Linked DNA regions of Rattus norvegicus. The protein of the gene in region 1 interacts with the protein of each later gene in a pairwise test. Links are inferred from orthologs where the notes say so. Each region holds a gene or a part of one and is shown on either strand. Other genes may lie near its edges. The genes, in order: Tk1 and Ccdc90b.

Region 1 (3,811 bases):
AAGAAGGGAGCTAAAGGTGCTGGAATGATAGCTCAGGGGTTAAGAGGACTGACCACTCTTCCAGAGGTCCCAAGTTCAATTTCCAGCAAGGTCTCCCCATGCAGCTCTCTAGTGAAGCAAGACCAGTAAAGTATGATGTTGCCTGAATCACGGGGTTTAAGAGAGAAGCGTTGGGTTGGGGGCTCACAACCATTATAAGAAGGGAACTAAGAAAGGTTTCAACAAGCAGATAAGCCAAGGTGCAATGTCCAGTAGGAATGGCAGGCCCCGCCCCTTTCCCTGCTCTCTGGGAGTCCAACCTGGGGAAGGAGCTGGCAGGCCCCGGGTCCCCTCAGTTGGCAGAGTTACACTGTAGGATTTGCTGAGGGGCAAAGAGCTTCCTGACAGCCGGGATCTCTATAGGCTGCCCCAGCACTGAGTAGTTCTCTTTGTTGTCTGCAGTCTGGGCTGAAGACTTCTTAAAGTAGCACAGGCGGCAAACAGAGTGGTACTTGTCCGCTCCGCCAATCACCTCCACCTGGTAGGAGAGGCGTATGAGGGAGGACTCAGAAGCCTAAGCCCACCCCACTCCGTGGGCAGAAGCACAAGGAGATACCTCTTTCTCCAGGCCCAGCCTCTTGGTGTAGGAAGCTTCTCGAAAGCACTCCATGCACACAGCGGTGAGCTTCACCACACTCTCGGCCAAGGGCACCAGGTTCAAGATGCTGCCGAAAGCCTACACAGGACAGCAAAAGTGTTAGCCAGGCACTTCCCTCCCTGCCTGTGTTCACGTGTATGCGTGTGGAGGGAGTTCTGCGGAACTGACGCAAGCCTGTGTGCAAGGCAAGTGTGTTACAGCCTGGGCTGCCCCCAGCCCAACGCTTCTCTTTTAAACCCCATGATTCAGCAACATCATACTTTACTGGTCCTGCTTCACTAGAGAGCTGCATGGGGAGACCTTGCATGCTGTCTCCCCTCTCAAGACCGCTGCCATGGGTCAGACATCTTTACCTTCCTCTGGAAGGTTCCGTCCAGCGCCGCCACAATCACTGTCTTGCCTGTATTGGCCATCGTTTCACAGAAATCCACAATGTCAGGGAACTAGGAAAGTTCAGAGAGGATGAAGTGAGCCGTCCTGAGCAAGGGCCTCATGAAGACGGTGAGGGATCCGAGCACACAGGTAAGCCCAGAGCCGGAGATCAGACCGCACTGCCACTCCTGTGAAACATCCCACCTGCATGCCCACTGCTACCCAGGGCTGGCCCACAGAGGCCTCTACATACCAGAGAGGCTGGAACAGCAGTTCTCAACTAGTGGGTCGAGACCCCCCTGGGGTTGAACAGCTTAAACAGTGTGCATGAAGCCCTTGGCTCCACCCCCATCCCCTACCCCCACATCAAATGAGCCAGACAAGGTGTCCAACACAATACCACTACTTTAAAGGTAGAAGGATTAGGAAGTTAAAATAAACCAGGGCTGGAGAGATGGTTCAGGGGTTACAAGCATGGCTTGTTCTTATAGATAACTAGAATTCAATTCCCAGCACCCACAACAGATAGCTTACAAACCATCTGTAACTCCAGATGCAAGGACAGCTAATGTCCTCTTTTGGCATCTGCAGGCACCCACCCTCACATGCACACATGCACTTTTAGCCCCCATGGACAGCTGGAGGGAGGAAGGGAGGGAAGGAGGAGGGGGACTCTTGGTAATGAGATGTACAAGGCGTACGTAAGTAGGTTGGCAGGGATAGCTGCCCTCCGCCTTCCACTGTCTCTCAGGCCAGCCTCCCCCTTCACAGCACGGGTGTAGACCAGGTTAGCCTTGAACTCAGGAGATCTACTTGCCTCTGCCCCTGAAGTTCTAAGATTAAAGGCCTATGCTATGAGCCTGGCGCTTCCATTTCGTTTGAGCTGGGTCTCTTCCTGAATCTGGAGCACAGCTACTGGGCTGGGCTGCCTAGTCAGGGAGCTCCAGGGGCCTGCCTGTCTCTGCCTTCCTCACACTGGGATTATGGACATGTGGCTATACCCAGTGTTGTACACGGGTGCTAGGGACCCAAACTCAGGCACTCATGCCTGCAGAGCCAGGGCCTCCCTCACTGACAGAACTGTCTCCCCATCCCTTCTGTCTCTCACTTTTGATTGGTTACTGCTGTGCAACCCAGGCTGGCCTGGGTTGCAAAGCAATCTCCTGCCTGCCTGGTTCTTGGACCTTTTCTTGAACATATCTCTGCCCTACACCTTAACGTTCTAACCTTTCTCTTCTTCCACGGTCCCTCCCAGTTTTAGTCTTTCAACGGAGGTGAGGTGGAAGCTCCAGATTTATCTCCAGACCTAGAATGCCGCAGCCAAAGGGCAGAAACTTGGAATGGATGCGATTGGTCCCTGGACTCAGCCATTCCCACAATAGTCACAGCATGTGACATGGCTTGCTCTATAAAAACACACGTGTATAATTAGAAGCGTCCAGGCTGGACTGGCATTCATCAGAGTCCTGGCACTGGCTGAACATAATCTCTTGGGTCAACACCAGGCAAGGCAGGCACCCTGGCCGCATGAATAAAGACCCTTCCTCAGTCTCACGTGACCACTGACAAAGCAGGTGCAGTCTATGCCAGAAGCAATCAAACAAGCACCACCCTTCCGCCAAAAGGAGCTCGGTCCCCTCCCGGAGGGCCACTGTTCCACGACTAGTGTTTGCCCCGTGGCAGGCTTTAGAACCCACAATATTGGCTCGCAGGGCATTCCTGGTAGTTTCTGGTTCAAAGACACTTAAGTGGCAAGCCTCCTTTGTCTGGTGTGCTCCTGCTGTGCCCTACATTGAGCCTGTCATTACTGCGTCAAAAAGAAGGGAAACAAAGTTCTTAACGATGCAAGCTTCTAATCTTGCCCAGAAGCTGTGGGCCCTGCTTCTGGTGAATGAACACACGGGAAGCTCTATGTCCTCAGCTCTGGCTCCAGGGACCCTACAGGACCCTCTACCCACTGTCTGAGGACACAGGAAGGAAGGGCAATCTCCTTGTGTTACCACGAGGAGATCCTGAACTTAGTAAGGAACAGGGTCTAGAGTCTGGGGCGGAAGCACACAAGAATTGTGTTGTTTATACAGTGCACACTGAATACTCACTGTAGCCTGTGCGAGGGCCCATGACTACACAATACCAGCACTCAGGGGCCCGAGTTCTAATCTAGCCTGGACCACAAAGCAAGACCCCACCCCAAAACTCCAAGTAGCCACTAAATGAACTCGTTTTCCTTAATCATAAGGTGGGGTGGGGGTGGGGCGCATAGAAATAAATCTCTCCTATAGGTTAGGATGGGGAAGAGGGTTGGGGCGACTGGTAGGCTGGTGCCAGACCTGGGTATGAGTCTATCAAGCAGGAAGAGCTAAGAAAAGAAGGTAGTGGGCTGGAGAGATGGCTCAGCGGCTAAAAGCACTGACTGCCCTTCCAGAGGTCCTGAGTTCAATTCCCAGCAACCACGTGGTGGCTTACAACCATCTGTAACGGGATCTGATGCCCTCTTCTGGTGTGCATGAAGACAGCTATAGTGAATAAATAAACAAATCTTTAAAAAAAAAAAAAGAAAGAAAGAAAGAAAGAAAGAAAAGAAAAGAAGGTAGTGCCTAGGGAGTGCGGCTGGGCCTCTGGGAATACCAGGAGAGCACAGAGTAAGCAGGCTACTGCCGCAGGCCTGAGGGGGGAAACTGTGTCCTAAGTCAACGTCTGCACAGCCATTGCACTCCCAAGGTTTACCTCTGAGGACAAAACAGATCAGGCATGTCCAAATGGATAGACAGATGCCAAGAGCATGACGAGGGTATCATGGCC
Region 2 (4,417 bases), on another chromosome or scaffold:
GTTCCCTCCTGGAAAGAGACTTAAACGGACTCTGAACTTACTGTGGCTCAAAAACTTTCAAATTTTCTCGAGTCCACTGTATGAACCTCAGAATCATACTCATTCTTCTTTGTTAACCTCTATTTTCCCTAATTCTACCCAGCATCCATGCATTCCTTTACCCCTATCTAAAGGTTTCTTTTCCAAATTATGGCCATACTTCGAACACTCAGATTCATTTAATGTATATTTATCAAAGGCTTGTTATGGGCCAGGCACTATGCTAAATACTAGACTTCAGCAATAGATGTGGTTACCACCCTCCTGAAGGACATAGATCAGCTCATGGCAGGAAGGGTTGTGTTCTTAACTAAACCACCAAAGGTGCACGCAGCATAAAGGCTTCAGGAGATGGCGCGTCAGCTGGGATCTGCCCATTACGAAGAAGGTGATCTAATACATTAGAAAATGCTCTCCAAGTTGCAACATATGCAAAGGCCATGAGTAAGAACAGATTAATAAAGTGTGTTTGCTCTCTCCAACCCTGTCTCCCGGACCCTGTGTTCTACTATCTCTGCTTACGGAAATCCTCGAAAACAGGTTTGAATCCTACCTCTCCCCTCTTTTCTAAATTCTTTCATTAGTGTACATTCACTGTACAAGTGATGGGTTTAATAATGGCATTCTTACTCAAGAATATAATTACTTTATGCTTGTTTATTCCCCATTAACTGCTCCTGTTACCCTCCCCTTCCTCTTTCCTAATAGTCCCTCCCCTTCTTTTTTTTTTTTCCTTTTTTTTTTTTTTTTTTTATTAACTTGAGTATTTCTTATATACATTTCGAGTGTTATTCCCTTTCCCGGTTTCCGGGCAAAAATCCCCCTCCCCCCTCCCCCCTTCCCCTCCCCCCTCCCCCCTCCCCCTCCCTTCTCCCCCCTCCCCCTCCCTTCTCCCCCCTCCCCTTCCTTATGGGTATTCCCCTCCCAACCCTCCCCCCATTGCCGCCCTCCCCCCAATAGTCTAGTTCACTGAGTCCCTCCCCTTCTAATGCTAGGAAACCATCTGCAGTAGAGAGATGTGTCTCCTGCCTCTGTCCCTAGTACCCCCGATAGAATCATTTTTATTTCCTTCCATGTGTAATCTACTAAAGTACTTGCTGGTGGGAACCAAGTTTTGCGTTTAATGAGCCTCAGAGCTTGAAATGGTGGTTGGTAGGTAGCTGATTCCCACAAAGTTGAAGTCTAGGTAAGACAATTGTAACTAGTACGTTGTTTGATACCAGGTGGAACAATGACTTTGGAAACTTAAGTCGGAGAGAGATAAACCATGAACGATATCGACCCAGTAAATGGAGAATTTTCATTTCGTTTTCCTGAAGGAAAGGCCTAAAACAGTTGGTCCTCCAGTGCACCAGAGGGCCAAGCAGAAAGACGCGAAACTACAAATGTGTGCAGCGGTTTGTACTTCCATAAGCTTTCTGGGCGAGGAAACAACCCGGTCTCATCCCCACAATCCTCAGCAGCGAGGACTGCGAGTCCCATGGTGCTATGCGACTACACAGGACTCGGTTTAGAAAGCTTGCTGTGGGACAAACTCGCCACCAGCAAATGGGCGCCAGAGGTTCTCCAAGATCCCGGTTTCTTAGGGCGGTAAAGGCGGGAAGAGATGGGGAAGGGGCGATGGACTAGAGGGATAAGCTCTGAGTCATGAGAAGTGTGGCTCTGTGAAGAGGCCTAGCTTTGTTAAAGAAAAACCCCACAAGTGTTTTAGTGACAGATCGGAAACTACATTTCCCAGCATCCTTATGGTGAGAGAACTTCATTGTCCGAAAGCCTCTGCGAGAATCAACAACATTCCGCTTCCCTTTGCTGACCCGGAGCTCCGAGAATATGAGGAACCGCTGGATTTGGCGGTTCCTGCGTCCCGAGTGCAGTGGAATCCGCTGGATTTCAAGTCCCCACGGGCGTCTGTCACCCGCCCTGCGGAGAGGTGAGGCGAAGACTCGCTCAGGGAGAATGTTCGGGCGGGTGTGCCTGCTCAGGCGTCCGCGAGAGTGACACACCCCCTACAGGGCCCCGCCCACCCGCGCAAAGCCACCCGCGAGGCTCCGGGGAGGGCGGGTCGCTGGCTGAACCGATGGGGTCTGTTGGAGGGCTGCCTTCCTTTTAGACCCAGCGGACTTGCCCTTCCGCTAGGCTTCTGAATTGGTGGGGGCACGGAGCGGGGTTCAGTGTCATAACGTTAATGAACTCTTAGGTAGTTTGCGAGTATCCTGGTTTACAAATTACATAGTGGGGTTTTGTTTTGTTTTTAAATGCCCTGGAACCTATACATTTCCAAACACTTGGGCCCTTTGTTAGTCTGTGTATCCAGGAGACTATCTTACTTTACTCTGAGAACTATTTCCTAGAGTTTTTTTATACTTTTGTTTTTCATTTTTTTCCACCGTAAAAGGCATCCCAACCTCCACATTTTATTATTTCTGGATCTATTATGAATTTGAGCTATTCAGACACATTTCTCCTCCCTCCACACTTGTGTGGTTTTGTTGTTTGCCACTGTTTTGTTTATAGCCTGTTATTTAATTCTATTTATTCCACTAACTTGAAGTCAAGGCTGCCCTTGTCTGCTGTTTAACTGCTAGAATTAGTCACATCTTTGATTACGTATTTAGATAGTATAAATACACAGTCTGATGGACTTTTCAAAAAAGGATAGGGATGTGGGTCCACTAGTAAAAGCATGTGCTGCACAAGAATAACAACACACAGTAGAATCCCCAGTACCCTCATAAAAGGCCCTTGCTGTGGCTCTCAGCCATTCCAGGTTCAATGAGAGCTGCCCTTTTAGAGAAATAGGAGCATGACAGCAGGATACAAAGGCCTCACACACAAAGGGGTAGCATTATTTTGAATATGAGGAAATAATTCAAATCTCAATTTATCTGTGTACTTTTATCAAAATTATAGCACCCCAGGAAAATGTTAATATTTTAATATAATTGTCAGGTTATTCCCCTTGAATCTGATTACTCTTGAGAGGAAATCTTGTCCCCTCTCCCTTAAAATTAGTGCATGGTTTGTGTTCCTGCTCACTCTAGACAAATAATGTCAATAGTCTAGCAAATTTGAAAGTTGATCCTTATCCCATGGAAATACCTTATTTGGTCCAACACTCTTTATATAGTGAAATGCAGAGGAAGCTGTGATTTGTCTAAATTTTCTCATTGATGGTGCTGCAGTCTTAATTTGTTATTATTAACCACACTTAGCAGAATATCAGAAACACTACAGATGTTTCTTTTTAAGTACAGATTGCCAGCCTTATGACTAAGAAGTACTGAATTAGTCCTCAGGTGGAGAGGGGAGTGTTTTCATTAGTTCATTTAATTTGCCATAGATCTCCTATAGCACATATACAGCATGTCAGTAGACTCTAATGTTAGGGTATATTCTTTGGAGTTGTTTGAGATGAGTTTCACTGTGTAACCAACCTTAGCTGTCCTAGAGCTCTAGATCAGGTTGGCCTTGAACTCGCAGAAATACACTGGACTGCCTTCTGAGTGTTGGAATTAAACCTGTCCTTTAAGTAATTAGATATATAAGTAGCTTGGGATAAAGTAAAACAACACAGGCTATAGATAAGATGTGAGCTTTGTAGTCAAAAGAACCTAAATTTGAATCCTATTACCTATCACTGTGTCTGTAACCTAAGCAAATTCCTTTGCCTTTTCTAAGCCTGGTATGGTTTGATCTAGTCTGAACTGGTTTCAGTATGTAACTCGGGCTAGCATTGAATTATGATCCTCCTGCCTCAGTCTCTTGAGTGCTAGAATCACCATATTCAGCATTAGGTACCAAATGCAGCTTTAATGCATGATCTTTTAATTTAAAAATGAGAATACTACTACCTTGTTTTGGAAGCATTTATCTGGTAGAACACCTTATACTTGACTACCACACTGACAGTTACTATCTTTTTTTAAAAAAAAAATCATTTATTATATATAAGTGCACTATAGCTGTCTTCAGACACACCAGAAGAGGGCATCAGATTCTATTACAGATGGTTGTGAGCCACCATGTGGTTGCTGGGAATTGAAGTCAGGACCTCTGGAAAAGCAGTCAGTGCTCTAACCACTGAGCCATCTCTCCAGCCTAACAGTTATTATCTTAATGTATCACAATAGTTAAGAATTTTTATACGTGCAGAATTCATCCTTGGAGGAAATATTTCATAGTAAGATTCATCAGACTATACTGTGTTTGAGTTGAGTTTTGGGAATTTAATGGATTAGGACAGGAAGATGTCAGAAATGCCTGGTAGCTCTTAGATCTCCTATACTGATCAGTAAATGCTCCAGAACTTTAAATCAAATTCATTGATTATGACTCACCTGTGTGTCAAAATGCTGTTGCATGACAAAACACATCCATC

Evidence for each region.
Region 2: the proteins of Tk1 (region 1) and Ccdc90b interact in a two-hybrid assay, tested with the Homo sapiens proteins (2 studies listed by BioGRID and IntAct). The link is inferred for Rattus norvegicus from reciprocal best matches to the Homo sapiens genes TK1 and CCDC90B.

The regions. Positions count from the first base shown.
Region 1 is NC_086028.1:103,534,620-103,538,430, forward strand, and holds part of Tk1 (thymidine kinase, cytosolic), read right to left. Parts: intron 1,081-3,811; coding exon 991-1,080; intron 716-990; coding exon 596-715; intron 518-595; coding exon 332-517; 3' UTR 1-331. UniProt on the Homo sapiens protein: Cell-cycle-regulated enzyme of importance in nucleotide metabolism. Catalyzes the first enzymatic step in the salvage pathway converting thymidine into thymidine monophosphate.
Region 2 is NC_086019.1:156,043,625-156,048,041, forward strand, and holds the start of Ccdc90b (coiled-coil domain-containing protein 90B, mitochondrial precursor), read left to right. Parts: upstream 1-1,567; 5' UTR 1,568-1,869; coding exon 1,870-1,969; intron 1,970-4,417.